4 linked regions of the Kluyveromyces lactis genome follow. The protein of the gene in region 1 purifies or fractionates together with the protein of each later gene. This does not show direct contact. Links are inferred from orthologs where the notes say so. Each region holds a gene or a part of one and is shown in the gene's direction. Other genes may lie near its edges.

The links.
Region 2: the proteins of CPR1 (region 1) and SMT3 purify together in Saccharomyces cerevisiae (affinity purification with mass spectrometry; 3 studies listed by BioGRID, with this or other methods). This does not show direct contact. The link is inferred for Kluyveromyces lactis from reciprocal best matches to the Saccharomyces cerevisiae genes CPR1 and SMT3.
Region 3: the proteins of CPR1 (region 1) and HOS4 purify together in Saccharomyces cerevisiae (affinity purification with mass spectrometry; 4 studies listed by BioGRID). This does not show direct contact. The link is inferred for Kluyveromyces lactis from reciprocal best matches to the Saccharomyces cerevisiae genes CPR1 and HOS4.
Region 4: the proteins of CPR1 (region 1) and KLLA0_F02882g purify together in Saccharomyces cerevisiae (affinity purification with western blotting; 4 studies listed by BioGRID, with this or other methods). This does not show direct contact. The link is inferred for Kluyveromyces lactis from reciprocal best matches to the Saccharomyces cerevisiae genes CPR1 and SET3.

The regions. Positions count from the first base shown.
Region 1 is NC_006040.1:1,411,754-1,418,935, reverse strand, and holds CPR1 (peptidylprolyl isomerase CPR1), read left to right. Parts: upstream 1-3,262; coding exon 3,263-3,751; downstream 3,752-7,182. Other genes in the region: RKM5 (S-adenosylmethionine-dependent methyltransferase), read right to left, coding at 1-553; HOM2 (aspartate-semialdehyde dehydrogenase), read right to left, coding at 747-1,841; DNA-directed RNA polymerase I subunit RPA14, read right to left, coding at 2,310-2,789; ENT5 (Ent5p), read left to right, coding at 4,230-5,429; GIR2 (Gir2p), read right to left, coding at 5,743-6,546. UniProt on the Saccharomyces cerevisiae protein: PPIases accelerate the folding of proteins. It catalyzes the cis-trans isomerization of proline imidic peptide bonds in oligopeptides. Involved in histone deacetylase complexes, suggesting a function in chromatin.
Region 2 is NC_006039.1:123,580-130,376, forward strand, and holds SMT3 (SUMO family protein SMT3), read left to right. Parts: upstream 1-3,362; coding exon 3,363-3,644; downstream 3,645-6,797. Other genes in the region: KLLA0_C01606g (amino acid transporter AGP1), read right to left, coding at 1-1,768; KLLA0_C01650g (uncharacterized protein), read left to right, coding at 4,540-6,797. UniProt on the Saccharomyces cerevisiae protein: Not known; suppressor of MIF2 mutations.
Region 3 is NC_006042.1:339,388-348,259, forward strand, and holds HOS4 (Hos4p), read left to right. Parts: upstream 1-3,382; coding exon 3,383-6,265; downstream 6,266-8,872. Other genes in the region: VAC7 (Vac7p), read left to right, coding at 1-1,118; KLLA0_F03597g (dual specificity protein phosphatase family protein), read left to right, coding at 1,939-3,021; KLLA0_F03641g (cytochrome c oxidase subunit IV family protein), read left to right, coding at 6,868-6,868, 7,373-7,824; HPM1 (protein-histidine N-methyltransferase), read left to right, coding at 8,750-8,872. UniProt on the Saccharomyces cerevisiae protein: Unknown. Component of the Set3C complex, which is required to repress early/middle sporulation genes during meiosis.
Region 4 is NC_006042.1:264,718-273,813, forward strand, and holds KLLA0_F02882g (uncharacterized protein), read left to right. Parts: upstream 1-4,444; coding exon 4,445-6,835; downstream 6,836-9,096. Other genes in the region: protein kinase IME2, read left to right, coding at 1-1,879; KLLA0_F02860g (NAD(P)/FAD-dependent oxidoreductase), read left to right, coding at 2,383-3,684; putative GTPase MTG1, read right to left, coding at 7,120-8,277; KTI12 (Kti12p), read left to right, coding at 8,476-9,096.

The DNA.
Region 1 (7,182 bases):
TCCGTCTACACTCTGACTGGTTTTCTTGGATGTTATCTTTTAATCGAGGCAAGATGTCCTTTTGATCAGTGGCCACATATTTATCAACGTAATTAGAGAAAACAATAGGAAACATTGGTGATGTTCCAGTGCCCAGTTCAAGGACATATCGTAGTTTATCATCTTGCTGACATTGAAAAATGGATGTAATATCTACCTCATCCTTTACACCCCCTCTTGTGAATATGGTAGCGTTGTCATTGTATAATAACCATTTGAGAATAAAAGTAGACGTGGTCCAAATGACGTATCCAGTCGTCGAGTTATTATTATCACGGTTGGAATTTAAAGAGGTTAGGTTTTGGTGTATACTAAATGTATACTCATCTCTTTCTGGTGCTTTTTTTTTCCTGGTCACTAGGCGATGTGGCCCAATGTCTATCTCTAATTCTGATTCGTTTCTCGACAGAATACCGAGATCTTGAGATAAATCGTTTGCGTTAGCCTCTAATTCCACATATCGTTCGAAAATGTACTCATATAAAGTCTCTTCATCGAGCAGTACTAATTCCATGATAAACAGATCGTCATCTTAGTAAGCTCTGCGCTGAAATGGATTAGTGCCCATTGTAGGTATTCTGTAACGAAATATGAATTATGAATTACATTTTATCTGGTTATACATGATTACGTGAAAGAAACAAAAATATTCGGAGCACTAGAAACTGCCTTTCAAATTTGCTTCAGGAAGAATTATCATTTTGCGTTTAGATGATGTTCTTGGCTAATAGAATTTCGGCAATCAAGATACCTGCACCTGCAGCACCGATAACGGTGTTGTGGGACAATACAACCATTTTGAAGTCCAATACAGGATCTTCTCTGACTCTACCAACAGATACACCGTAACCATTGTCTCTTGTTCTGTCCAATCTTGGTTGTGGTCTATCATTTTGTTCCAAGACATGGATGGTTTGTTTTGGCGCAGAATGGCATCCCAACTTAGCAGCATCACAGACATAGTCTCTTAGACATTGTTTTACTTCTTCGACAGATGGAGCTGGCTGGTTCTTGAACTTCAAAGAGATACATTCAGTGTGACCGTCAGAGACAGCAACACGGTTACATTGAGCAGAAACCTTGATTTCGTCATCGCTCAATAGGTTAATTTGAGATTTATCTTGACTCAAAGCACCCAAGATCTTCTTGGTCTCCCATTCGATCTTGTCTTCTTCGCCGCCAATGTAAGGGATGATGTTATCTAAGATATCGATACTTGGGACACCTGGAGAGAAACCAGCCCCGGAAATGGCTTGTAAAGTGGTAGTGGTCAATAGAGAAATAGGACCGAATTTTTCAACTAATGGTTTCAATGGGGCCACTAAACCAGCAGTAGAACAGTTTGAGATACAAATAATAAAACCAGGTCTTGGCTTACCTTCTTGCTTGGCCTTTACCAAGTTCGCGTTAACCAAATCCAAATGTTCTGGGTTGGTGATTGGAACGATTAATGGCACATCTTCTTCTCTTCTGTAGTTCTTAGCATTAGAAATAACAGCTAACCCATGTTCCTTGAATTCCTTCTCAATTGGACCAGCATAGTCAGCATCCAAACCAGAGAACACAACATCACAGTCCTTGAAGGCATCAGCGGTACATTCAGAAACAATGATGGACTTAGCAAATTCTGGTAACAAATCGGTTTGTTTCCAGTTCACAGCATCGACATACTTCTTACCTGCAGATCTGGAAGAAGCACCCAAAACCTTCAATTCAAAATCTGGATGGTCAGCTAACAACAAGATAAATCTTTGCCCAACGGAACCAGTAGCTCCTAAGACACCAGCGACTTTCTTACCCATAGTTATAGTATATTATAAGTAGTGATTCTTTCTTAATCTTCCTAAGCAAGATTCAGATCCTCTTTATCGCTTTAGAATAAATACGATCAAGAAAATGAGATAAGTATATTAGAAGCAAAGTAGAGCAACGATGAATGCTACAAGTGTGTACAAATATATACCTGGTAGTAAGGAATCGGATGTTAATGTTGATATTCTTTTCAACTGATGTCATATCACTTTGACGAAAAATTCCAACTGACTCACACTCTCTCTGTGTGAAAGAAACCGCAGGTGAGCCCATTGGAAAAGAAAAAGTTGTGTATTTGAAGTCACGTGGTATGTTGCAATTAGGGTGAGCTCCAAGCTTATGCATTGATTATAACGGTCACTGTATGTAACTTAGCGTATGTATGTATATATATATATATATATATATATATAATGAATGAATACCCTCCCGATTCGTGGGTAGTGCAAATCAGCCGTCTATTCAGAGTCTGATGACGATTCCGAGGATGAGGATGTTTGTTTGCTGTCACTGGAGGTTTGTGAAGATTCCGGCACATCAGCAAACTTGATCTTTTTCCCTCCAGTAGCAGATTTAGCCACCGTATCTTCTTCTGTATTACCAGTAGAACTTGTGCTGGAGGGTTCCATCTCCATTACTTGAGGTGGTAGACCTTTGAAATCTCTTTCGACTCTTTTCAGCTGCGCAAGAGCACTGGAAAGCTGTGTATCTAGAGCCATTTCATCGGCACTAATGCCACCAGAAGTTACTGCTCCCTGGGTTGTAGAAGCTCCGCTTGACGCTAGTGTCACGCCTGGTACTGATTCCTTTTCGGCAATGAAACTTGCTAGGAATTGTAGTACTTCGTCTTTAGATAGGTATGTTGGCGTGCCCACCGTATGTACCACAACGGGCGTGTTCAAAGTGGAGTTTGCTGGTCTTCTAGTTCCCCTTAGCATGGTATACGTGGTTGTTCGTTGGAGTGCGATGAATCAAATCAGCATCTATATATTTACCCAACCTTTGGCTATCTCATCTCATCTCATCTCATCTCATCGCATTATTTCGATTCAGGTTTTGTCTCTCGAAGAATTTTTCAGCTGAGGCACGGGTAACTCAGGCATGTTTCTCCGTGCCTTGCGATGTTAACAAAATATGCAAGTCACGTGTGTCACGTGACTTGCGGCGACAATGCGGTTGATGTGTAAGATAATGGGGTTTCCGTTTTCGTTACCCGGCCGCATGTCATCACCTAATACCATTTTGCGAAGCCAACGCCACCCTTTGTTAGCAACTACCAACCACTTTCTCAATTGAACTCTGATTCAACTTCAATCCAATTCCAATTCAAGTCCAGTTCTTGCTCTTCTGTTCTGGTTTGCAAAATCTTGGTTACAACACACCAAGTATCAACTACTAAACTAAACTAAGAATGTCTAAGGTATTTTTCGACGTGGAAGCTGACGGTCAACCATTGGGTAGAATTGTTTTCCAATTGTACAACGATGTTGTTCCAAAGACTACTGAAAACTTCAGAGCTCTAGCTACTGGTGAAAAGGGTTTCGGTTACGCCGGCTCTGTTTTCCACCGTGTTATCCCAGACTTCATGTTGCAAGGTGGTGACTTCACTCACGGTACTGGTGTCGGTGGTAAGTCTATCTACGGTGCTAAGTTCCCAGACGAAAACTTCGTCAAGAAGCACGAAAAGCCAGGTTTGTTGTCCATGGCCAATGCTGGTCCAAACACCAACGGCTCTCAATTCTTCATCACCACTGTTCCATGCCCATGGTTGGATGGTAAGCACGTCGTGTTCGGTGAAGTCGCTGATGGTTTCGATGTCGTCAAGAAGGTCGAATCCCTGGGTTCCGGTTCCGGTGCTACCAAGGCCAGAATTGTTATCGCTAAGTCTGGTGAATTGTAAGGAAATAAGCTAGGGAATTGACTCTTTTTTTCATTTTAATCCTTTTTTCTTCCCTTTATCACACTTCAATCGCTCGGGATATCTATATATATACTTATGTCTATAACAACCCATTGACTAATTGAGTGTATTTGATCTCACTCAATTGGTAATGGAAGACACTCAAATACATATATACAACACCCTTTTATATCAATGGAAGTTTATGACTAGATCATCATCTCTCCTCTTTGGCCATTAACAAATGTAGCTACCCAATGAAAATGGTTACCCGGGCCTGTTCCCTTTTCTCACCTGAAATTTCCCAATTTAGCTGCCCTCTGCAATCAGCGCAACCTTTACAAGACTTTTCAACATAAAATAATGATCATGATTAATGATCAGTGAGGATACGTTCGTCATTTCAGTGCGGTAACCCGTTGTATCTGCAGTGGTACGCTATTGATCACGCTGGACAGGCTATATCTTATCAGTAAGGATGGATTCTATTTCTAAAAAGTTGGGTAATTTGGGTCTGCATGATTTCAGAAATGCTGCAAGATTTGCACAGAACGTTATAGTTCAGTATGAACCATACCAGATCGATATTAGACGTGCTACGAATACCGATTCCTGGGGTCCAACTCCAAAACATTTGGCTAAAGTGATGAGACATCGTTATGAGGTTTCAATGTTTTTGATGACTGAATATACTTTGAAAAGATTAGTCGATCATATGGCTAAAAGACCTAAGAACATGTACGAAAAGGCCAGAAAGCAGTACGTGAATTACGGTAACGAATGGAGAGTTGTGTTGAAATGTTTGGTCTTGTTAGAGTATTTATTGATGAGGTCAGATAGGGGCAAAGAGACTGATCAAGTGCTATCCTGTTTACAAGCACATAAACATATCTTAACCAAGGAAACGATGCAGTATCGTGTTGATTTCAGTAGTGATGGGAAGATGGAATTACATGAGCGTGGTATCAAGAAGAAATGTGAACATATCATCCAGTTGATAGAGGATACTTCTTACTTGAAACGCGAGCGTTCCAAGACCGCGGAAAATACACAAAAAATCGTTGCCGGATCTGCCGGATCTCGCTCAGAATCTCTGTATAACGATATTTCCATCAATGCAGACTCTTTCGCCGGATCGTCTTCTACCATTGATGACTCGGACGACTTCGAATATGAACCTACTCCAACGGCTCACAGAGATCGTAGATCGTCTGCTGTGGACGAACAGAGAAGACAGAGAAGAGAGCTATTACGAGAAAGAATCCGTAACAGTGAACATCAAAGAAAAGTCTCCGCGCAGGAACCAGAAATCGATCTATTGGACTTCGATGATGCACCAGCTCCTGCTTCTCCTTCAATCAACAATAGCAATAATGCTAACGTATTCGAGAGCTTCGGTGTTGATGGTGAAGATGATGACGATGATGAATTTGGTGATTTTCAAAGTGAGAAAAGTCCAGTTCCACCTGCATCTGGTAACTTTAACAGTTTTGGTAACGATAATAATAATAATAATAATAATAATAAAACCTCTAATAATAATGCTACATTGAATGATCTTCTAGATTTCGGTGGATCTAGCAGCACCACGACGCCAGCCGCGACCAACAATAACAACGCCAGCACGAAATCCGATGCTTTTGCTGATCTATTCTCTATGTCCAAAAACCAAATATGAAACTCCCAAGTATATCAACATAACAATTCGAATCAAGAGGCTCCCTCGATTGAATAGCATTAACTATCACATGGCTAGTGGGACTTGTCATATTTTATATTCTTACAACTAGAACTCACAACCCCTACTATTATTATTATCATAATTTTCTTATCTATATACTGTAAATATATGAAAAAAATTACCTGACCTTGCACCGTGAGACTTTTACCTTCATTAATGAGAAGGTGTATTAACTATGCTTAGTCTAAGGTTTAAAGTGATGCCATATTATGAAATCAATCATTAGAAGTGTTATAAAAATATGGAGAATTTAAACTGCTATGGCTTTTACACCTTCTGAGATCAAAGATTCATTCTCCTCATCCAAATCCTCATCGCCAGCAAGTCCTTGTTCGAAGATCTGTCTACCAGAAAGTCTCCCCTGGTGGGCAGCAAGACGTCTCTGGGCGTCTCTTTCGTCCAACCCCAGTTCTTTCCTAAACTTGGCTCTCCATTCGATGTATGATTCTCTTGTCACTTTAGTACCTCTGAACTTTTTCTGTTCCTCCTTTTCACGTTCCAGCAGCAACCTATCATGTTCTTTCTCCAGTTCACTTAGCTTTTCTTGGAACCACTGTTCGGCGTAGTCTTTGATGTTGGAAATCAAAGCGAAGCACATCTGCATCCCAAGAAGCATATCTTCTTGGATTTGTTCATTCAATTTCTCGATACATTGCGGTATAAATTCATCGAAATGGATTTTATCAGGTATATTTTCGAATTTTGATACTATCGGGTTACCATGGTCATCGTATTCAATTTCGTCCTTATCTTCATCGTCCTCGTCATCCACATCTTCATCATCTCTGTCGAATTTTGGCACTTCTTCCGGCATAATCTTAATTAGAGGTGCTTCATCGGGGTAATTTTCTGGTAGAGTAAAAATAGTATGCAAAATATGATCATTAGTTATCGAATCCACGGTGTATGAAGAATCATCCAAGGGTACGGGGTCCAATTTGATATCAATTTGTAATTCGATCTCTGGGTACTCAGAGTTCAGAACAGTAAATTCATCTGGATAGATCGACTCTAGAATCTCAAGTTCCTGCGTCTGTTCTTCTTTATAGTCCATTGTGTAGTTAACTGGAAGGGGTTAGGGCGTATAGAAACAATTAGGTAAACTCTCAAAATGTGTATTCAGTACATTTCGTAACACGCTTCCTCTGCATATAACTGGACTGGCCGTACAAATTTCAACTTGACAATGATAATGATGATGATGCTTGAAAAATCTGACAGAGTGAGAAGTGTGCTAAAACAGATACAACATTACCCGGATACAGAATGTACCCTCTTCATTTTCTATCACGTGGATTAAAAACTCAGTCATGCAAAAACCCGATTACTACCTAAAGGAAACTGGCGGAAATAAATGCTTGGCGCAGCCAAAAGAGGTGAGCCTCTCTGTCTCCTAGAAAACCCACAAGACCCCTCTAGGAACAAAAAGAAATAAAATATACCGGTTCCAGTCCTATCTCATTTTTCATACACACACCCAAAACTAGTGGAGAAACTAGAGGAAATCAGCCAGAAACCTTTGATTGTTAATCACGTGCATTACATTTTCTCCTCAAAACTTCCGTTTTCCGGGTGTCGCATTCTTCTGTGTCCGGGTAATATCCTCAACACAGCCGTTCCGGATTTCGATACGGAAAAATTCCAGTTTCGAGGTGCAGTCACTTCGCACGGTGCACCTTGAAAAATGGAT
Region 2 (6,797 bases), on another chromosome or scaffold:
AAATCTTTCTGTGAGAAATGAGATCGATTTCAGATGCTGGAATATATAGTCTCCAATCCTTCTTCCATATCTTGAAACCGAAGTATAGTGCAAGGAAGACTGGCATTGCAAGATAATTAGCAAAGAAATTTTCGGCATCGGCACCATCGGTACCTCCTACTGGGAAAAGTGCGACCCAGAATTGACCGATGAAAACCAATATCATCATGAAGATACCATAGTAAGAACCCCATACACCAACTTGGGACCTGAAACCTAATTCACCTATGGATCTATTTTGAACTTGCATGGCTTTTCTGAATCTGACATGAGAAATACAAATGTTAGTCCATGTGAACAATTGGGACAAACCGGAAACGGCCATCAACCATGTAAAGACACTTTCTTCTGCGGATGAAGCACTAACAAAGCAAATACAACCAACAAGAGCACCCACAATCATGGCATATAGTGGTCTACCTTGTCTATCAACGTATTGGAAAAACTTTGGAGCATAACCGATTTCGGATAAACATAGAAGAATACGGGAACTTGAGTAGAAAGAAAAGTTACCTACAGATAACACTGAGATTAAGATGACTGCATTGATGAATGATGGGACAACTTTGACACCATGCGATGCAACAGCAATCACATAAGGAGAAGAATGGACAGAAGAACTACCTGAACCCATCAATTCAGGGGAGTTATAAGGAACTAAAAACCCAACTAGAATGATACTAGCCAAGTAGATGGCAATAATTCTGTACAACACTTGCTTAGCAGCACTTGGAATAGCTTTTCTTGGGTTAGCTTGTTCACTGGCAGTTAAAGCAACGGCTTCTGATGCACCAAAAGCAAATGCAGCAGTAACCAAAGTAGAAACAATAGCCTTGAATCTACTAATACCAGTGTCACCGTTGAAGGCACCAGGGTCGTTCCAATATTTACCACCGATATAAACTGAGTCACCTGCACCACCACAGTTGATGATGATACCCAAGATGAAGAAACCTGCAAACATTAAAATTTTACAAGTGTTGAAAAAGAAATCGGCTTCAGCATAACCAGCGGAACCACACATGTTAATTCCGATGATCATAACGTAAAATATAACACACCAAACATTAGGATTTATGCTGGTATTCCAATATTTGATGGTAATGGCCGCAGAAATCACTTCTAATGGGAACACACATAACCATTGAATACAGTAAAGGGCAGCGGTAGCGAAACACATAGCAGGGTCCACCAAAAAGGAAGGATAGTTATTGAAATTACCAGTTAAAGTTGGGTATGCAACTGCTAGTTCACCAGCAGCTTGAATAATACTGTACAAGCAAGAACCCATAATAGCATAACCAATGGTCAAACCAGCCGGTCCACCGGTAGCCAATGCCTTACCGTTACCAACAAGTAGACCAGTACCGATACCTGTAGCTAAAGACATCATAACAACATGCCTTGGTTTAATATCTCGCTTTAAGCTAGCACCCTTCTCAGGTAAGAGACTCTGTGATGGATTCAATTCCAATTCCGCATTTCCATGTATATTCGTATTAATATGATCGGCTCTCTTGAAGGAATCCTTAAACCTATGCCAAACACTTGATTTTGCAGCGTACTCCTCGTCCGATTGAGAGAACGTTTTCTCATAGTATTCAGCTTCACCTTCAATACTTGGGAACCCTTCTGATTGTATTATAGTATCTGATTTATCATTATGTTTAACGTCACTGCCAACAGGACTTATAAAGTCTGAATTAGAAGATCCAGTAGCACCAGTCATGGTAAGATTTGACGCAGTCTAGCATATACTTCTTGAAGATATGAACTCTTAAAGAATAAGGACGACCACGGTTGCAGAGAATATGTGACAACCACATAGCAAAATGAAATCGACCACTCTACATATACTTTTATATATATATATATTTATATTATAAAATCGCTGAAAAGAAAATCAACACACACCGAAAACATTCCAAGACTCCAACATTACTTTTCGGTGTCATGTATTGCGTCCCAGATAATCACTAGGAACATTATAATACATCATCTCATTCTTAAATCGATCAGTATATTACTTACCAACTACTAACTAGAGTGATTTCTGAGTTATCAGGACCAAATCATCCAATTTACTAACCATGGGCAGGTGGGGGAAGGAACTGAGGGAAAAGGCAATCAGAATACGATTGCCATCTCTTTGGCTGAGGCTAAGCTACGCATCTAACAGCTTCTAAAGTACCTCCAGTCTTGGATCGCTCAATGGCTACATCGTCTCATCTCGTCATCTTGTGACACACTTCTTAACGTTACTGCGAATGAAAAAAAGTAAAGAAAATAAGATTGTGCCATGAACCAAAAGAAAAGACCGCAAACTGCATACAAAAAGATTCAATACGCCACTTTCGAACAATCCCTGGCGCGGGATTCTAAGGGCTGTCCAGAGAAGAGCCTTAAATATTCCTGGAACAACCCATACACCTTCCTATTTCTTTTTCAAATGATCAGCTTCACCCAGTTAATACCGCAGCAATGAAAGAATATGGTCCTGCAGTTTCCATTTCTCGATGGAGCTTCCAGTAGAGGATGTAGCCATCACCTGCAAGGGCGACAAAATAGAAAACTGAAACTAAAATAAAAAGGAACGAGGTGGAAAACCCAAATTGGGCTAAGAGAAACGGTCTACGGAGGTTCTATTTCTTTTTTTATAAGAAAGATAGGGTAATAATCTCGGTGCTTTTAGTTTAATGGCACTTGAGAGAACGGGTTTAAGGTTCCAATATAGCCCAGACAGTTATAGCTTTATCGGAACAAACGAATGAGCGGTGGTGATAGCGTTCGGCGACAAAAATCCAATGCAACACGGACTGAAGCTCTATCCAAAAAACTGAAAGGAAAGTGCCCTCGTGATTTATATTTACAGGGCATTTGCGCGCTGTAGCACGCGTCTTATCTTTTTGCTGTACTTGGCAAAAGGAAACTTCCGGCTTCCGGCTAAGTGTAACCCGGCCATGGCCGGGTTACGATTAATCCTTTTGCCAAGTACAGCAAAACAAAATGGGCAGGAGTGAAAGATCACGTGCCTGTGGGTCGTTACCCTTCCCTCCCCTAACTTCTCATTTTCATGCTCTCAAAAGGAAGAAGGAAACTGCTTTTTGTTAGAGCTCTTTTCCATGTCAGTTGACAGTCGAATTTCAGGACTACAGTATTTTTTTTTTTTGGCCAGGAATTAGTTCAACAATACAAATTACCTTAACAAACAAAAGCTCAATCTATACTGCCGAGAGTTAGAAGAAGAAAAAGCGAGTCTTTAAACATTCATTGAATCCTGTTTCTCCATTCTTCAACGCCTATATATATAACCACAGTTTGAAATGTCAGAAGAACAAGAACAAAAGGTGGATGTTAAGCCAGAAACACATATTAACTTGAAGGTTTCGGATGGATCCAGTGAGATCTTCTTCAAGATCAAAAAGACCACTCCATTAAAAAGATTAATGGAGGCATTTGCTAAGAGACAAGGTAAAGAGATTGAATCCCTAAGATTCCTTTACGACGGTGTGCGTGTGTTACCAGATCAGACCCCTGAAGATTTGGACATGGAAGATAACGATATCATTGAAGCTCACAGAGAGCAAATTGGTGGTAGTTTGTAATTGGGAGTGTACTTTGCAGCAGTAAGTGGGATCAACTACAGCATTCCCATCCTTTTTTATCTTTCAATGTAACCTATCTAATGTTATAATAACTGACTATGTATCTGGAATATTAAAACTACTTTGGATGAACAACAAGAAAAGTGCCCGCAAGCTTATCTGCATTTCCCCAGGGAAAACAGTCGGTATGGAATTAGAAATGAAATCCGAATGGAAAGAAAAAAGAGATTGGGTATCAAATGGCAGGGCTTATAACAGACCTCCTGCAAATTACCACCCTTGTATTCCTATTTCGATTCGAAAAGCTAGGTTTGCTTCAAGTTTCGCGTTTTTAGGTCTTTTTTTTTTCAAGTCATTTTCCTTCCTAGTATGGTGAACATTCTTTTCAATTAGTATAACTGTTACAGTAAATGATTTTAGAAAGAATAATTTACCAGAAGTGGAAGAAATATTAGCTGTCTTGTTAATAGTTTTCTGCCACACTCGTTTTGAATTTGGTAGGTTTTTTCTTCCATTGTTATTTGGCATACATATATACCAAGACGTGAAGTTTAATTGTGTTTTTCTTTGGTGAAAATTGTACCTGAGGGAAATACTGAGAAATTGAGACAAGGCTCATCACATAAAACTGGAAGTAGATTAAACCATAAAAGTTATCGTGAAAAAAATAATTTCAATTCACTTCAACCATCTTCAACCACGACCAATTGAATTCACTAGACGGTACCAGATATCAGACATAGAGAGTTATTTATCTAGGCAAGCGAATCTCACTCTGATAAAAACGATATATTACACCACATTCATTCTCATAAGAAATTATCATTCAAACCTTTACGCGACTGGGGAACATTATAACTTGTAGCTTGGCCAATACTATCACAATATATCAGAAATGAACGGTAACGGAATAACGACGTTAAAGGGTGACACAATTGGCCCGTGGAAGTTGGGCTCGACACTGGGTGTTGGCTCAACAGGTAAAGTCGTAATGGCCTATAATGAAACTAAAGGACAACAAGCCGCTGTGAAAATTATATCAAAATCAATATTCAACGCTCAAGGGTCGACAATGATTGGTGGTAACGATCCTGATGTCTTACCCTATGGTATTGAACGTGAAATTATCATTATGAAGTTGTTGAATCATCCTAATGTCTTGAGATTATACGATGTTTGGGAAACTTCAAAAGATTTATATATGGTTTTAGAGTACGTTGAAAAAGGTGAGTTATTCAACTTGTTGGTGGAAAGGGGCCCATTACCTGAGAATGAGGCAGTCAGATTTTTCAGACAGATAATTATCGGTATTTCTTACTGCCATGCGTTAGGTATAGTTCATCGTGATTTGAAGCCTGAAAATCTTTTATTAGACCATAAATTCAATGTCAAACTAGCCGATTTCGGTATGGCAGCACTAGAATCAAAAGATAAATTACTGGAAACTAGTTGTGGTTCGCCTCATTACGCGGCACCCGAAATTGTCTCGGGCTTGCCATATCACGGTTTTGAATCCGATGTTTGGTCATGTGGTGTTATTCTTTACGCTTTACTGACCGGTAGGTTGCCATTTGATGAAGAAGATGGCAATATCAGAAATCTCTTGTTAAAGGTTCAAAGTGGGAAATTTGAAATGCCTGGAGATGATGAAATATCATCGGAAGCCCAAGATTTAATCGCCAGAATCTTAACAGTAGATCCAGAACAAAGAATCAAGACAAGAGAGATCCTAAAGCATCCACTTCTAAGAAAATACCCAAGCATTAAGGACTCTAAATCCATTAGAAACTTACCTCGAGAAGATACCTATTTGAATCCACTATCATTAGAAGGAGGAAATCAATGCGTAGATGAAACTATTTTGCAGAATTTGGTTGTTCTATGGCATGGTAGAAATAAGGAAGACATTATTACGAAGTTGATGGAACCTGGTGCTAATTTAGAAAAGACTTTTTACGCTTTACTGCATAGATTTAAACACGATAATTACCAAGATCAATTGAAGCAACAAGAATTACAAAAGAAACAATCTGTCTCTTCGAATTCGCTGATGTACGTTGGATCTTTACCATCTCCTAATAAATCTGATTCCCCAGTCACCACTCCAAAGAAGAAAAGAACATCAATCATAGTTGCCTCATCTTCTCACAAAAGACCTGTATCAATGCAAAAACTGAGTAGCCAACATAGCTCACCAGTGAAAAACGGCTCAATAGGTAAACGTTTGAGTAAGACTTTCCCTTCAAACAAGAGAATTTCACAGCTAGTCTCCAATTCGTCTTCTCCAACCCCTGCTGCTCATAAAAGAGTTTCCAGGATAAACGATAGTGCAGCTCCACCCGTCCCTAAAGAAATGCTTCGTGACTACAAAAGACAATCAAAGAGACAATCCAAAAGATTCTCTCTACTGCCTAATATGAAGCGTGGATCTATAACAACGAAACTGATTGCAACGTATGCAAAACTTTCCGAAGACAGTGAATGGGAATACATCGAAAAGGAAACGAAAAGGACAAGTCAGGACTTTGCTACATTGATGGATCAGATTTTCGAGCATGAGAAATACGAACAAATACGGAAAGAGAAGGAAGAGTTGGAAAGAAAAGTCAACGAAGCTCGTGAGAAGGAGGAAGCTGAAAGAAAGGAACGGGAAAGGATCGAGCGGGAGGAGCAAGAAAGACTTGAAAGAGAAGAACGAAAGCGAGCTGAAAGACAGAAGGAATTGCAAGACCAAATGGAAGACGAAATTGCTAAGCTCAAGGCGGAATATGAAGCTGTTCAGGGGAGCTCGGATGAAAGAAACACAGCCAATGGAAGATCTGTCTCTGCTCCGATAGAGACCGATAGAACTGCAAACAAAAGAGATAGTACATTCGGTATAAAGAATGACATCAATGAACTAATCAATACAAGAAACTTCTCTCTACAAACGAGACCAGTTTCCAGACTTGACCCTGGTATCATAGCTGCTGAAAGTAGACTGTCAGCTAACCTAGAAGATGACCAAGCGTCAAAGGAAAAGACTATTCTGGAAACCATTAGACGCTCCAAATTCCTTGGATCGCAATTTAACTTGAACGTTGAATTAGAGAAAGCCCAAAAGGATTTAGTATCTAAAGAGAGACAAGAACAATTGAGAAAGTACTCTGAACA
Region 3 (8,872 bases), on another chromosome or scaffold:
ATAACGATATCCAATCCAATTCGGATATCAGTGATATTCACGGACTGACATATCACAATCAAACCAATTATGATGAACATTCGTACGCGGACGAAGATGGTGATGATATTGAGTCGATGTTTTACTATAACGGAGGTAGCATAGTTCCTAACAATGCTAGAGTTGGAAGGAGGTTCTCAGAACTCGACGATGGAACGGAAGATGTAGAATCACAAGGATTTTTCTACGGAGATCCGAATAATGCAGAGAGATCAAATGAAGGAAAGGGACTTGGTTCGTCCCAATTACCTTATTTCAATCAAGCCAGTGAGTATACTCCTTTGAAGAATAAAAGAGTGAGCAGGAAAAGATCTGATTTCTACGGTGATTTTTCTCCCCACAACTTTTACACCAAGAAGGGTTCATGGTCTAAGTTTAAAAATTTCGTTTACTTCTCTTTCATCGTGGCCTCCCTATTGACTCTTGGATTCATTTCTGGATTCCTACTGGCAACCAACAAAGAATTACACGATTTCCAATTGTTGGCCATGGATAACGTTCTAGTTTCGTTGGATGAATTAGTATTCGATATCACAGCGACTGCGTTTAATCCAAGTCTCTTCACTATTGGTATAAAAGACGTGGAACTAGATATATTTGCTAAGACTAAGCACGTTGACGTTAGTTCAAATGAAGACAAGTTATATTCAACTCCATACCAAACCATACTACTCGGGACAGTATACAATCTCGAAAGTGAACTACAATTTAGAGGAAGATTGATCAACAGAAATTATGATGTTTCTGTTGCCAGTGTTAAATTGCTCAATCCTGGTGCACCTAAAAATAATGGTGATGATGAAGACGGGGATAATGACGATGACGACGATGATAATGGTAACAAAAAGAAAATGGGCCACGATAACCAAGATGAAAAGGGCAATCACAAACTAGAGAATGATATTGACCGTTGGAAAGAATTGATCAAATATGAATTCGAATTGATCGTCAGAGGAAACATGTATTACAGTATCCCATTCTTTAACAACCAGAAAGTACTCCCAGTACAACAGCAAATTTCTGTAGATCCAGACAACTCACCTTTCAGAAAAAAGCATGGAAATAACCATGCGCAATAGAATATAAAGGCCATTTTTTAGTCTGCCAGAAGCTTGTTTAAGTCAGACACCAAGATAACTCATCGGAAAACTTCAACCTTGGCCTTACTTAGTTTTTACAATGTCTTGTAGTATGCCACAGCAACTAATTTGCTTGTAATTATATATAATGATAACAATAAGATATACTTAAAGTACCACAAACTGTATTTTTCATGGCCGAGTTATAAGCCTTAAGTGACCCCAGCAACATCTGCATCAAGAATGTTATTTATTTACTTCTTTTTTTAGGACCTACCTGTGTCCCCAAGAAAAAGTAAAAAAAGCAGAAATGTTGAAATACTAAGCACAAGAAGTAAACTTGAAACAAGGTACCGAAACAGAGCTAAAAGTTCATTTGTCTGTTTTTATCGTCAAATAAATCAACTGCTGTAGGTCCACAAGTTATCATTGTTATTGGCATAGATTTAAACCTTCGAATTGCACGCCGGTGGGTTTTCCTCGACTTACCACACACACATTCAAGGCGGCAGAGGGGATATTTTGAACATATTAACGGGGAACGATTGTGAGATCTTAGCTACTACATTAGAGGATATTTGAGAAAAGCTTGTACAGCAATTTATTGAAATTATTGAATATTGTGTTACTTCAAAGATATAGGAAAACTAAAGCTGGTACTTGATTATTTCCCTAGACGCTGGTAACCCATAAGAAAACCGTTCTTATCTCATCTTGAATTCCTGGCCAAAGAAATTCGGTAAGAAACTTATTTGGTTATAATTATATTAAACATTTGATCATACTTGCAAGTCCTTTTCAATACCCAACACCGAGCGATATGGAGGCACCGCAGAGAATAAGTACAAGGTCACATCATTCGATGCAAAATAAAAATTCAAAGAACCTTTGTCTTCGAATAGGTGATTCCCCAACGAAAAACAAACTAATAATGGTGGATTCAAAACCAAATGAAAGCAATGATACTTTCGCAGTGCCATTGCGCCACCAGCTTACTAAACGTGTAAGTGAAGCACAGATATACACTTTACCGCCACAGCTTAAATCTGCCAGATCCACACCCTCTACACCACAATTACCGTCTGGCAGTTCGGGCTTTGATTCAGCCGCTTCACCCTCATCGTCTACGTCTTCCTCGCCTTTCAATAAACCAACACTTCCAACAATCAACACCAAATTTCACAATAGGCCGAGGGCCACGACAATTGCGACAAGTGTACCTCAGATACAGACGCCCAGTAATGATTCAATGGAAAGCACGACACGGTATTGGGTTCTTCAAGAAAATACGCCCATGTCCTCTACAAATTATGATAATGATATGAAGAGCATCCCATACAATACCCATTCTGATGAAGACTCACCGAGCTATTCAGAATCATACAGAGAGAAATATTATCCCAGTGGACCGTTACTTGTCGTCCCTCCTTTCATATATTTGTATTCTGAACCATCATTAAAAGAAGTAATGGATTACGACGTAATAATAAACGTTGCAAAGGAGATTACCAACTACAAGGAACAACTGCCTCTATCCAAGCAAGGTTGCTATTATCATTTTACTTGGTCTCATACCTCACAAATTACTAAAAACCTACCACAACTAACAGAACTAATACAGAATGCCTATGCCAGCAAAAAAAAGGTGCTAATCCACTGTCAATGTGGAGTATCAAGATCAGCTTCCTTGATAGTAGCTTACATGATGAGATACGACAAATTAAGCTTGAATGAAGCATATAATAAATTGAAGTCTGTCGCCAGAGAAATAAGTCCAAATATGAGTTTGTTATTCCAACTAATGGAATGGGAAGATTGGCTTAACAATTGTGACTCAATCAATGATAACTGTCGGAAACAGTCATTCGAGTCCATCTCGGAATTCGGTGAACTCTCTCTGTGAGATTGTATGATATAAAACGCAATTTTAGGGATACCCATACAAAGTATATAGTAGCCTAAACACTACTCTGTAATAATACGCCGCGGATCTTCTGTTTGGGCAAACTATCAAAACGTACCAAGTGATAATTCTGTTCTTAAAAACATTAAACTTTTGAAGGTTTCTAAGTTATGATATAAGGTAAATAAAGCTGGTGACAAGGGAGAATAATGCAAAGAAACCATTAGATAATACTGTCCTCCCACTTATTATACTTCGGACTTTACGTTACTCGAAGGATTCATTCAGAAGAGTGCGAATTATGGAAAATCAGAGGCCATTCATAACTTTCAAACCTTTCTGAAAAAACCGAGTAATAACCATGAGCGAACCTGTCAAAAAAAGAAGCTTGGGCAGTTATCTATCTCGTCTCGAAGAGAGAAGAGAAGAACGAGAAAGATCAGAGCAACAGCAGCGAGAAAGTCCTAAGCCAGTGGGTGAAAATGGGAATTATTCTGTTACCAATGTTCCAGTAAAGGAGGAAGAGGTATCTCAAAAGGTAACTTCAACTGATCAGAACAGTACAAAACAACCATCAGACGAACCCTATGTCGTTAGCCAAGCAAACAGCTCTGACCAGAAAGTTGGATCTCCTTTGAATAATCAAGAGTCAATACCGGTGAGACAAGCGGAAACGAAAGGACCTATTAATGAAATAAAACAGGAAACGGATGTAGAAGAAAAGAAAAATCTACCGAAAGTAGGGAGAAATAAGCATTCTGACGAAGAATATAGTAGTGCACTCAGTGAAGTTGAAAGTGACGCACCGACAGAGCCTGCATCGCCACCAAGACCAAAAATGGGGAGACTAATACGAGGTGATCAACTTGAAAGCGGAAACAACAGTCGACAATCAAGTGCTCCAGTATTGACAAATGATGGGGAATCCGATTCTGATCTTTCCGATTTAGATGAGGCTCGTACAGCTAAAATATCAAGCAGTGCGATTCACGAAGATTCCTCTCCGGTGAAACATTATAATGAACACAAGCGCAAATCCTCTAGTATAGAAAACTCCTCCAATCACAAGAAGCAAAAACATTCTGCCGGGAAAAAGATACCGAAGACTAAGCGTGGAGTACATAGGGATGCCGGAGGCAGGACAAAACTACAAATTGCTTGTGATAAAGGCAAATATGATTTGGCAAAAAAACTTATTGAAGAAGACGGCTATGACGTTAACGACCAAGACAACGCTGGAAATACGCCACTACACGAAGCAGCTCTAAATGGTCATTCAGCAATTGTCGAGTTGCTCGTAAGAAATGGAGCTAATGTTAATATTCAATCATATGATATGTTTCTAGATACGCCTCTTATTGATGCTTCCGCGAATGGCCACATAAATGTTGTAAAATATCTTCTAGATCACGGAGCAGATCCAACAATGGTAAATGCCAAAGGTCTAAGTGCAATTGAATCTATTGAGGAGGAATCAGACATGGATAATGATGATAGAAGAATAGTGCACGATATGAAAGATATGTTAAAGAGAGCAACGAGGAAATATATAAAACATTCCCATCGCACCTTACAGTCTAGTTCCATGTCAAGACATTCAGATGATATAGACAAACAACTCAACCATGATGACGACTTTTATTGGACTGATATCAGTTCAAAATTGGGTAAAAACAAGCTTTTGAAAGCTTCCAAAGAGGGGAAATTAGCATACGTCGGTTCGTACCTTGAAAACGGTGGTAGACCTGATTTCAGATGTTTCCTTGAGAGTTGCATATATGGTCATGATGACGTAGTAAGTTTATTTTTAGCCTTTGGCGCACAAGTTAATATGAGTAACAAAGAAGGTCAAACTCCGTTGATGCTATCTGTCGGGCGTGGACATGTCAACGTCGTGAAACTTTTACTCGAAGCCGGGGCGGATCCACAGAAAACTGACAAACGAAAGAAAACTGCCTTGCATTATGCTAACCACAGCTCTCTTGGTCTAACGGATCCTGATGAAGTGAATTTACTCAAAGCAGCGGTGAGGGCAAAATATGGATACGAAGTTTCAAACAACAGCGATGAAGAGGGGGAGGAAGATTCTGAAGGGAAATCTCCTTCACCTAGAGAAATATCGTCAATTCCATCCACCAAAGGAGAAGAGCAAGATCGTTCTTTGGAAATTCGTAAAGATGATAGTCCTTATCATTCAGAACCACAATCTAAAATCGGAAATATCAATGAGGAAAAGCCAAAATTATTACCTGATTCTCAAACGACAGCAGAAACTGCTTCCCTAGTCAGGCCAAGTCTAGAGAGACTAGACTCAACAAAATCAACATCTTCAACATCATTAACTCATCGTTATAAAAGTGCATCTCCTACACATCAACTATCCACTCCGCCTATTCTTCCGAAAGAAAGCGAAGAAGAGAGAGCCGCAAGGTTGAAGAGCGAAGAAGAGTACAGGCAAAAGAGACTGCAACAGAAGAAAAGGAAAGAACAGGAATTCTTAAACAGATTAGCTGAAGATGAACGGAAGAGAGTAGAAGAGAAGGAGAAATTGAAGCAACAGGAGGAACAGAGGCTAGAACAGGCCAAGAAAGAGGAACTATTAAAAGAAGAAGAACTTCGAAACAGAAACGAAGTAGAAAAAAGATTAAAGATCAGAGAGCGTTATCCAATTGGATTGAGAGTCATTGATTTCAAAGATCTTGAGAATTACGATAAATTTGGGCCTGTGTACTACTTCACTGAAGATGGATCAAAATGGGTGCTAGATCTTCAAATAAGTGTCATTATCAAATCCAGCACCGAAGAGTTAAAGAAACAATCATCAGAATTTAAAGAAGTGGAAAAGGGTCAGTACCCACAACTATGGAATCTTTTCAAATTCATCTTCTTATATGGCGGCAGCGATAATGCAAACAACTCGAAGTCCTTGCCCTGGAGGCAATTGTCGGAAATTGACCAAACAGAGTATGTAAAATTCTATGAACTCCCACTAACATGGATTAAACTATCGCGATTGAACCTGCAAGATTTAAACCCAAAGATGAATGACTGGATTGAAAAAAATATGATAGAATTTATCCCGGCATCTACATCTGCCTTGTACAGAACAAGAAAGGTCCTTTTACGTGATAGCAAAAGACCTGGCCAAAACGAAAATAATGCTAACACACGCTTTGTCCCTGCCAAATATCAATCACGCTCCAAAATGTTACCATGGTTGAATGCCTCCAAAGCGCTTTGGTAGGGTCATTATACATAGCATAAGAAGCTTAACACTGTAACAATACATAAGAAAAGATAGAAGAAGAACGTCTTCCTCGGAAAATAGAAGTCACGTGGATTTTATATACACGTGACTCGGACCTTTGCAGATGATTTTCCACGCCCTTCATTCATCACTTCCCCAACCCGTACTATGCGACTGTCTTTCCGGGAACATGATTGGCCAGAGTCTGATTTAGTAACGTTAAATCCGAAAAAAAGTTCCATCTCGTATGAAATGACCTAAAACACACCATCATATCATAAACCTTCGATTCTCCTTCGAGATAAACAATAGAGTAGAAAAAAAAACTGTTACCAGCCATTTTTCTTCGAAGCGTTTTCTTGTTAGCGTTTTTTTTTTCGGCCCACTTCCGTTGGTGCTATTCACCTTTTATAATGGAGAAACATGAAAAAAAAAGCTGTAAATTTTTCATATAATTTAAATAAAAGATAAAATATAAAGCTGATTTTAGCTAGTTTCACAGATTTGAACATTGTTTTGGTATAGTTTCTCTAATTTATTCCAAGGGTTTTCTTGTTTGATATTAGTATTCACAACTAGCGGCCAAAGATTTTATAAAGAGTATGTGCACCGTAAGACGTAACATAATCAGGGGATTGCGAATGGGAATTTTCAATAAGGAACAAATGCGAACTGGAGTTTCCGGAGATAATGGATAAAATCATAAGAAGAACGATTTAAGAGATGTTCTAATTATCATCCCGATGAATAAGGTGGTATAGTCATACCTGATCAGGTTTAAAGTTTTAAATGGATTGGTTGTTTTTTAGTGGATTTGGTTCCTATAAGGGTTTTTATCCATTATCTGTATTTGGTCATGGAGAAAGAAATGGCATTTTGAGAATTCAACATAATAATGATTGTAACTCAGCTGTAAAAGAAGGGATCATGTTTTTCAAGACCAGAATTGATATTTAAACTCTTACTTATTCCACTTGCAATTATCGTCTGATTTTTTTCAGTACAAAGAATCTTATTTTTACTAACAACGATTAAACTGGAAAATGATGGGAAAAATATGTTTTTTCCTTATTGAATCATTTTCAATGTTATTATTACCAACAGTGTTGCGTTCCTCCGTTTCTAGAGTTGCCCGTGTCACTCCTGTCAGATTTGCTCAAACACAAGCCCTATCTAAGGCATCTATCGTCGATTTACCAAACAGATGGGAAGACTTGCCAGCTACTGAACAACAAGATATTGTCCTAAAGCTAGCTGAACGTCAAAAGCTACCATGGACTGAGTTGACTAATGTTGAAAAGCAAGCTGCTTGGTACATTTCTTACGGTGCTTGGGGTCCAAGAAGACCAGTGCACGGTAAGGGTGATGCTGCTTTCATTGCCAAGGGTGTTGCTGCTGGTTTGATTGCCTCTTTGCTAATCTTCGCTGGTATAAGACAACTATCTGGTGATCCACCAAAGACTATGACCAAGGAATGGCAATTAAAGTCTGATGAATATTTGAAGTCCAAGAATGCTAACCCATGGGGTGGTTACTCTCAAGTTCAATCCAAATAATTGTGATTTCTTCTACAGTATAGAATGCATTTTCTCCCTCTCTTCTATTCAGTTTATTTCTATTCTCTACAAACAACAAGAACAAAAAAAAGACACACAGTCGATACTCACCTTCATGATATAGGAGAAGTTCAAACTCTTTCTATTTCCAACTTTTTGAATGGGTTGCGGGTTTTTTTGCGTTTTGTTGAAATTGCAAAACAAGAGCTTTCTTCGGAAGCCTAAACTTGTCCTTTCGCCGTGATTTTGAGAACCACCACACGTTAGAGAATCGAATTTATTTAATATTATTTTATTAACGAAGAATAACATATCCTTCTATCACCATTAAATTAATTCACAATTAAGAATAAAAATCATACCAAACATTTGAATTTGAACCCTATGAAATAGGACTTCTTAGTATCAACATCAAGTTTTAAAAAAATTGAATCCAAAAATTTACACAAACAATATCCAAAGCCAAAAATTAATGATTTATAAACGGACACTTATTTAAATTTGAGAATCATTTCACGTATTCTCTTTACGTTTCATTTATTTTATCGAAATCAATTAAATACATTATTCTATCATTCTGAATTCGAGAATTCTTTTCTTATCCAGGAAAGATTCATTAACATTCTCACTTCGAACTATCAATCCAACAGAAAACCCTTAGCTATTTAAATTTGACTAGAGAAAGGCTGTTTCAAAGTTATAAGCATTTCAACGCACGGTATGTAACAGGCCGTTTATTCTACTAGCATCTGGCTCAAAGCTTGAGAAGGACGATCGCTGACAGGATCACAAACAGGAAACGAAAAGAAAAAATTGAAAATGAAAAATTCAATACAGAAAGCGCATCTCATCTCAACGCATATATTTGGCCAATAGAGGAAATTACTTACAGAGGAAGACACATGTCCTCATAACCCCGATAATAATGTCCTTTGCATTTGGCTTCTCTAACGAAGATTTCAGTGATGATGAACTAGATATTGCCAATCAAAATACAGATGATAAGCCATCTACTTCTGTCCCTCGAATCAATCCATTGGATTCCGAA
Region 4 (9,096 bases), on another chromosome or scaffold:
CGAGATGTTCATTGATGATTCTTTGTATCACCTTCACATTGTAATGGAATGCATGGAGCAGAACATTTATCAATTGATGAAACATAGGAAAAGAAGAGTGTTTTCCCTACCTACTTTGAGGTCGATATTATTCCAAATATTAGCAGGAATTAAACATATTCATGATCACGATTTTTTCCATAGAGATATCAAACCGGAGAATATCTTGATATCGCCATCTCATAGGTACTTCAGCAAGAAATGGTTGGAAGATGATAATTATTCGGATAATTACGTGGTGAAATTGGCTGATTACGGTTTGGCAAGACATGTGAATAACAGATCACCTTATACCACCTATGTGTCGACCCGTTGGTATAGGTCACCAGAAATTCTTCTTAGAAAAGGATACTATTCCAAACCGTTGGATATTTGGGCGTATGGTTGTGTTGTTGTCGAACTAGCCACCTTTTCACCACTATTTCCCGGTTCTGACGAAACCGATCAAATATGGAGGATTCTAGATTTATTGGGCTCCCCAGATCATTCTATCAATGGAAAGGAGCACTTTGGGGGTTCATGGCTGGATTCAAAACCATTATACCAAGCTTTGAACTATGAATTCCCATACGTAGAAGGGAAAACGATAAGGGATGTTCTACCAAACCCACAATTGGAAGATCTATATGATGTGGTTACATCTTGCCTAAAGTGGAATCCAAGTGAAAGGGCTACTGCAAACGAAATATGTGCATTGCCATACTTCAAGGAATACGTGATGAGAGAAGCATCTTTGGCAAAGACAAATAACGGAACCGCATCCAAAAATAAGGATAATACAGCTTTGGCAAATAAACTTGCAGCAAATCCATCAATATCAAACCAATGGAGTCGTATTCTTTCTGGACTACCACATAACCCGGAATTGGGCATTGTTCCTAGTTTTAACTCTCCACAGAAGTTACCAAAGGTTCAAAAGAACAATCAAATGAATTGTGTAACAGATAAAAGCCAACAGCAACCGCGAAGAGGAGGAGTTGCCTCATGGTTCAAATTTTCCACGCAGAAAAACCACGTTAACATCAATCCAAATACAAACAATGATGAGAAAATCCTTACTAGTGTTAACACGAATACAAATAGCCAGAAGAATCAAGGAATTGTAGAAAAAAAACAGCAGGAACAACAGGTAAATGCTCACAACGAGAGGCTAGATAGCTCTACAAACGCTAATGGTAACAGTATTCCTGATATAAATCTCATAGGACATGCCAACAATGATAATGAGGTATTCACTATTGAGCTGGATGATAGCATGGAGACTATGACAGGATCTGATCAAATTTCTAAGGAATTAAATGACAAAATAGAGCTTTATCAAGACACCACAAATCAGATGAACCCACCAACTCTGGATGTTGATGACGATGACGATGAACATGATTCGATTGACATGGACCATGAGAATTATAGGATTCAGGTGTTGGACGAATTTGATACTGATGAGAACTTGGAACATGAAATTAGAGCGACCGACAAAGATGAAAACAATGAAGTTGCCGTTGATAAGATGAAGATCTCCAATCAAGGAGAAGACGAAGATGATGCAGATAGTCTTCTAAACTATTATCAGGATATGATGGCTAAGAAATTACCACTTAACAAAAACAAAGGTAATTACATGCATTCGAATGGACCAGCGGGTCCTACACTATCAGATCAAATGGCAATAGACGATTCACTTGATCTACAAGAACAGATCCCAAGAAATCTGCTGGAGAGGGCAGTACAGCAAAGAGTTTTAGATTGTCTTTTAGATCCATCGGAACATGCATCTCAAAACCTGATTCAAACCTCTAACTCCCACAATCATACATTCCAAGATGGATTAAGTTTCTGATCGTAGAACAAAGAACAGCAGGCTGTTCCTCTCTTTCAGTTCTACTCGTTGAAATTTCTTTCAACAACGCTTTACCTGGTCCTCTTCCCATTCATTTATACCGTTTATAATATCCACACACACACACACACATATTCACCTTTTGTACCTGCTAGCTCATAAGTTTTAACATAACTTGCTTCTATTATTTCCTTTATAACTTGTTGGATACAGGACAGAAATGCCGACAACTCTTTCACTCTATAACATGGTACTTCTACTTGATTTACCTCTTATGTACACTATTATCCTTACTGTCTTTGTTTACTATCTCAAGTTTTTTTTTTTTTTCTTGGTAAACTGTTCCTATCAGCTCCGAGGTCCGATGATTCAAAATCTTTCGAGCCATCAACTTTACATTGTACTTCAAAGTCTTTATAAAGAAGAACTTCGGTTAAGAAAGAACATAGATAATATATTCAACTATACAGCTTTCCTCACATTAGACAGGCAGCGAACCGGAAATGTCCAATTATGATGTTGTCATTGTTGGCGCGGGTATATTTGGATTAAGTACTGCTGTGCAATTGGCTCGTTCCAAATATAAAGTTGTGGTGGTTGATAAGTTTCAAATTCCATCGCAGTTAAGTGCGTCCTGTGATTATAATAAAATTGTTAGACTAGAGTACAACGATGAAGTCTACGCTGCACTAGCAGTGGAAGCAATGGGATACTGGCACGGTGAAAGTGACAAATTTTTGCCTCGAGGAATGCTGCATGATTGTTACTCTCATTGTGGTAGATTGAGTGCAATTCAAGATAAGAATACAAGCAGATATGCTTTCGATAATGACAGTTTACAACTTCTACAAACAAAGTTTAATAAGTGTAAAACTGTGGAACTACATAAAGAGTTAACTTGTGGTGGTAAGTTCCCTCAGTTTTCTCATAGTCAACGCTACGATGAGATTCGTTACAATCCAGACTGTGGTATTGGTTTGGCTAGGGATTCACTAGTGACCATGAAAAATTATGCTGAATCATTAGGCGTCGTATTTCATGAAAATGATGGAGCCGTGAGTGTGTCAGCGGGCACTGTTCAATGTGAATCTGGCAGAAAATTCCTTGGACACAAAATTATTGTTGCATGTGGTGCTAATACTGTATCACTTCTGCCTATGTATGGTCAGATCAGGGCTACTGGGTTATATGTAGGCCATATTCAACTGACGGACAAAGAATATCAAAAGTTAAAGGATATTCCAGTGGTCTTCAACAGTAGCTTAGGATATCTGTTCCCTCCAGATAAGCACACCAGGATATTGAAGATTTGCACTAGTGCGATGTCTGCATATGATGATATGAGCAACAAATCAAGAGCGGTCTATCGGGCCCTACAGCCCGATGCGGCACCCAGTGTACCAATAGAGGCAGTCGTGCGTATAAGAACAGTACTAGGTAAATATCTACCGGATCTAGTCTTCGATACCAAAAGAAAGTCAAAGTTAAGGGATATCATTGATTGTAAGATATGCTGGATCAGTGACACATCAAATTCTGACTTCATTATAGACATGATCCCCGACCTGAAAAACGTGTATGTATGTTGTGGAGACTCGGGACATGCTTACAAGTTTCTTCCTAACATCGGAAGCTACGTACAGCAGAAAATAGAAGGAAGATTAGCACCAATACTGGCACACAAGTGGAGGTACAGGGAAAGTGATTGGAACGGTACGGAAATCGAATGGAGAGTAGAACCCGAAAAGAAAGCATTACAAGAAATAGAATGGTACCAAGAAAGTTACGGCACCCCAAGACTGTAACCTTTCCGGCAATTGATATTATGCAGCAACAGAGTAATATATTGCATGGCAATTGTGGATCTGTTGGCAGTAAACCGGTATTTAAATATAAGTAATAAAGAAAAAGAAAAAGTATCTACAGCTTGGTACATGTAGTAGTAACACAATCTTGCGTTCAGCGATATGTTCACCCACAGCTTTGCGTTAAACGAAAACGGTACTGCTACTAACCGTGCTTTTGCACCTTGTTTATTGTTTACAACTCATCGGCTCTTCATTATTCAAGGTACGACATTTTTCACCGTTTAACGACAAAATTTTGAAAATCAACAACATTAACTATCTTTCTAAAAATTGACAAACGAAGGATGAATAAACATGTTAATAAGGAACGAAACGAAACGACCAGCCCAGACATATTGAGTGTCTAATTAGCTCTCGTCAATAAGGTACTCGCACATATCTCTTTCACGAAGTAACCGTTGGCAAACTTGATAGAACAGCTGTACGAGGATCAGAAAGGGCCGTTTAATTTTTCCTGTTGGGTTTGATTCAGAACGTATAGACTGTTTTAGCTGTGCTTTCTATACTTCGATAGCTCGGACAACAAGCATACTAGGCCCTGAAAACAGGGATCCCTTTTAAGATAAAGAAGGGTATATAAGTATATCAAGCTGGGCAAGTTAGGACATCTTTATTAATATTAAGGTACCGACTTTTCATTCAATTTCAAATATTCAAATCAAATACCGCAATACAAGAAGGAAATATACAGTAAACGATGACGGATGGTACTATAGAACATGCTCAGGACCAGTCGTTAATAGACGATGCCTCCACTTTGTTGATGTTCTCTAAAACATCGAATTCAAACGTCAACTCGAGCGATGAGGGTAAAGACGAGTTAAAAGCCGATATACATACACACAAAATGACACCAACTCCTTCCGCTGGAACTGCAAGTCAGGTCGGAAGTCAAGCTGGTAGTCACAGTGGGAGCGCTGGTGATATAAGTATGCATATGAATCCCATGACATCACCGGGCCCTGCATCTGTGGCACTTATCAAAGATGATGATGACGATGATCATCTAAAAGGCAGTCCCGTTGACAATGGTATTCATCGCAGCAACTCAAATAGCGAAAAGACAAAGAAAAGCGGGAATAAGAAGGGTATGGTTGCGGCTGCTGCGTTAGCACAAGCAGCTACGATGCCACTACCTCTTAAACGAAAAGCAGAAAACGATAGAAAACCTGCTGCGAACAACAGCGTGCCAATGCCTAGATCAGGTGCCGAGGAAAAATCTCCTTCAAAGCAAGCAAAGAGCGAAGATAAAGTGGTGGAACAAGAAGATAGTTTCAAAGAAGCTGTAGAGGAACAAAAACTTGAAAAATCTGAAACGGATAGGTTTTCTTCGGTTCCCGAATCTTATGTTGTTGATCCAGATGCTGGTATAATAACGTGCATCTGTGGCTATGAAGATGATGATGGATTTACTATACAATGCGACCATTGTTTCCGTTGGCAACATGCTATATGCTATGGAATTGAACATGAAAAAGATGCCCCAGATGACTTTCTGTGCAACATCTGCAATTCTAGGTTTGTAGATGTAAAGCTAGCAAAGAAGAAACAACAAGAAAGGATCAGAAATGCTCAGAATAAGAAGCGTAGACGCACGGCAAATGGCAACATAAAAGAGGTGAAGACAAAAGAGGCCACGTCTGGTACGAAAGACTCACGGAATCCAGGTACTTCTGAAGCGACGGACCATCGTATAGAACCAGAGGCCATTCCATCCGCAGATCCTCTTACGAACATTGTTTTAATAAATGCTAAAGAAGCTTATCCTACAGTGTATCTCCCTTTGACTTCAAATGATTACAAAGATAAATACGTTGAACTTTTCGTAAAAGACCACGCTGATGACGACTGGGTTATACCTTATCATAAATTAACGTTCAAACCTATTCCGATTGAAATTAAACCATATTCTGACAGTAATCACTCAAGATTGTTCCCTGGATACCCCAAGTTAGCTGTATACTTGAAGCAAGGATGTGATGAAGGAGACTACATCGATGAATTCTTAGGAGAGATTGATTTCCAAAGGAAATACTTAGAAGATCCAAGAAATAACTATAGAGTCTGGGGAACTGCAAAACCTAAAGTCATTATTCATCCCCACTGGCCGATTTATATTGATGCCAGGTTAAGTGGAAATTTAACGAGATACTTGAGACGATCATGCAATCCCAATGTTGAACTAGTCACAATCAAATTGACTAATTCCAATAACCAGGATGAGATAAAGTTCGTTCTTAGAGCTCTAAGATTCATTGATAAAGGTGAAGAACTTCACATCAAATGGGACTGGGACCTGAGACATCCAATATGGAAGTTAATAAATCATAATGAGAGCATAGATTCCATTGAAGAGCCACAAAGGTATCTTTTCATACATTCCATAGACACCATTCTAGGAAGTTGTGATTGTGCCTGTGGAAGTAATAGTAAAGATTGTTACTTGCTGAAAATCAAACGCCATTCTCAATCACTCTATAGATCAGTCAAATCAAAAATGAATAATCGATACAAGCTTAACGAAATATTACACGGAAACAAATTGCAAACCAAAAAACAGTCATCTATTCTCAGTAAATTAGCGCATGCCACAATCTCAGACGCAGCAAGGGCCAATGAATTTCTACTTAAATTCAATGCCGTTAAGCTAAAGATGTTAGAACCGGTCTCTGACACTGTACAGAAGAAGTCTTTCCATACGAACGCTGGGAGTATCAGAGGGAACAAATACAGGGTTTCAGTGACGGAGTCCAAAAACAGGGTTGACCCCCTTAAAGAAAGTCTTTCATTCATTTCAGATCCTTCTAAGTTCGATGAATCACAGATTAAACACCCAGCCGATCTTCCTATTCCCATACAGACAATAAGTACTGAAGATAACCCTCCAACTGACACCACCATAACAAATATAACCGAAACTATATCAAACCAAGGACAAACTAGTGTCACTTCCGATTCTAATAGCATTAAAAATTCGTTGAAGCGTGGAATAGACAGCGTTCCCGGCCCTTCGTCTACTATCCACCAAGCTCAGATGAAAAAGAAATTATCGTTTGCTGATTATAAGAAAAAAATCAAACCTGCTTAACGGATGACTTCCTTGGTATCGAAACCTTCATTAGCACGCAAACTTTTTTTTCAGTTCGGGATGTACCTATAGGTAGTCAGCGGTGGTAATAAACGGGGAGAGTGTACTTAACAATTTAGCCTCCTTCTCATAAAATGAACTTTTTTTTGCGAGTTATTTAGGAATTTGGACGGTGGGTTCGATTTGCTTTATCGATATATGTTGGAAAACTAGTCTATACTTTTCTATTATTTATTTACATTGTTTATAATTAACCAAGAACTGACTACTTCTTAGGTATTCTCTCAGAAAAGCGTATTTGCCTTAGATAAATGCTTTTCTCTTTTGTTGAGTAAGGGTTGGGATAAAACATCCCAACCTTTGAGAATTTCAAGTTCTTCTTGCATAGTTTTCTTGTATTGAAAGTTTTCCAAAATGGGTTCCAACTCGAATAGAGCTGGAGTAGCTTTAGAGGACTTCTTAGAACCAGATCTTAACCCAGATTTTAAAACTCTACCTTGTCTCCAAGAATCTGTCCAATAGATGGCTGCAGCATTCTCGTTTGTCATTCCTACTTGCTTTTTGAGGCCACTCAACAAAATGTCAATGTTGTTAGTAGGGGTTGTAGTGTAGTGTGTGTAGAATTGATATTTTCCCTGTAGGTTCAAAAGATACAACAGAAAATCTGCTTGAATCACAGGGTCCACTAGATTGTTTTTAACGCACCCACATAAACTGAGTGATAGCATTCTTTGCTTGCTCATTGCTTTGGCAGGTAAAGATATTCCAGGCGTATCATATAGAAACAACCCTCCTTTATAATCACTGATTCTGATACATTCACTAGTGTTCCTGGTGACACCTGCCTGATCACCTGTCTTCGCAACCTTCTTGGGTTTGCTTCCATCCGAATGATCCAAGCCTGCATATCCAGTAAATCTTAAACTATTAACGAGTGTTGATTTCCCAACATTAGGCATGCCGCCAATTAGCATTCTATAACCCAGTGGTAGTCCCACAGTCTTCTTCCCCGGATCATTTTTCTGGAGAAACTTATCATACTTCCATTTTAATATATGTAAGAGATCTTTAGCGCCCTTTTTGCTTCTTCCATCTATCATGATATATTGTTCGTCCATTTCCTTATGCCATTTATTTAATGATGCAATAATAGCAGGATCGCATTGATCAGTTTTGGTGTAAACTACTAGTCTGTCAACTTTCTTTTCTAAGGACAAGTAATCGAATATGAGGTTCCTAGTGGCTATTGGAGCCCGGCTGTCTCGAAGTTCAACTAGAAGATTAAGCTGAGGAAGGAGATTTTGAGCTCTTTGTATAGCTTTCTTTTGATGTCCTTTGAAGTCACTTGTTGGTATATTGAAATCTGGGAATACCATTCTTGGTACAAATGTAGACTGCAGCCGTCTACCTGAGTATTTGACACATTTTACCGAAACGTTCATATCTTCCAATACAGTAAGTTTGTGAACAACTATTACAGTTAATGGAGTTGTCGTTAATGTTTATGACAAAGAAGTAATCAGTAGTTTGTCAACTTTCTTTTGGTGAATCATGATAGGTGATCATTAAAGCTTCTTTCAACATGAGAATTACTTTTTACTGCGTTCAGAACAAGAACTTTGAAAATACTCGATGAGCTCATGAAAAGAGGAAAAACTCAATCATTGTTTCAGACTTTGCAGCAACGTCTAGTGAACTTAGAACCTCTTGACTGTACAGCAATGCCCTTGGTTTTACTAACTGGTTTTCCGAGTAGCGGTAAAACAACTGTGGCCAAGAAACTCGTCACGTTACTACAGGAAACTATCGATTCCAACGATAAACTGTCAAACTATTCTGTTGTATACCATTCAGATGAAACCTTAAACATATCTCACGATGATTATATTGGGTCAAATGAAGAAAGAAGGGCAAGATCTAAGATTATGTCTGTGGTGAAGAGAGATCTTTCTCGTCAGAAAGTCGTCATTGTTGATTCGTTGAATTACATAAAAGGATTCCGGTATCAATTGCACTGTGAAGTGAAAAACGTGATGACAACGTATTGTTTGATCCACACGGTATGCCCAATGAGCAACTTGGTTGAATGGAATGAGAAAGAGACTGATTTGCATAAACCTTGGGAAAGCAATTTTTTGAATGCTCTTATTCAAAGGTATGAAGAACCAAACCCTCAAACAAGGTGGGATTCTCCATTATTCACTATATTGACGTCTCAAGATGACATCAGTACCCTATACACAGATATTAGTAAGGCAATA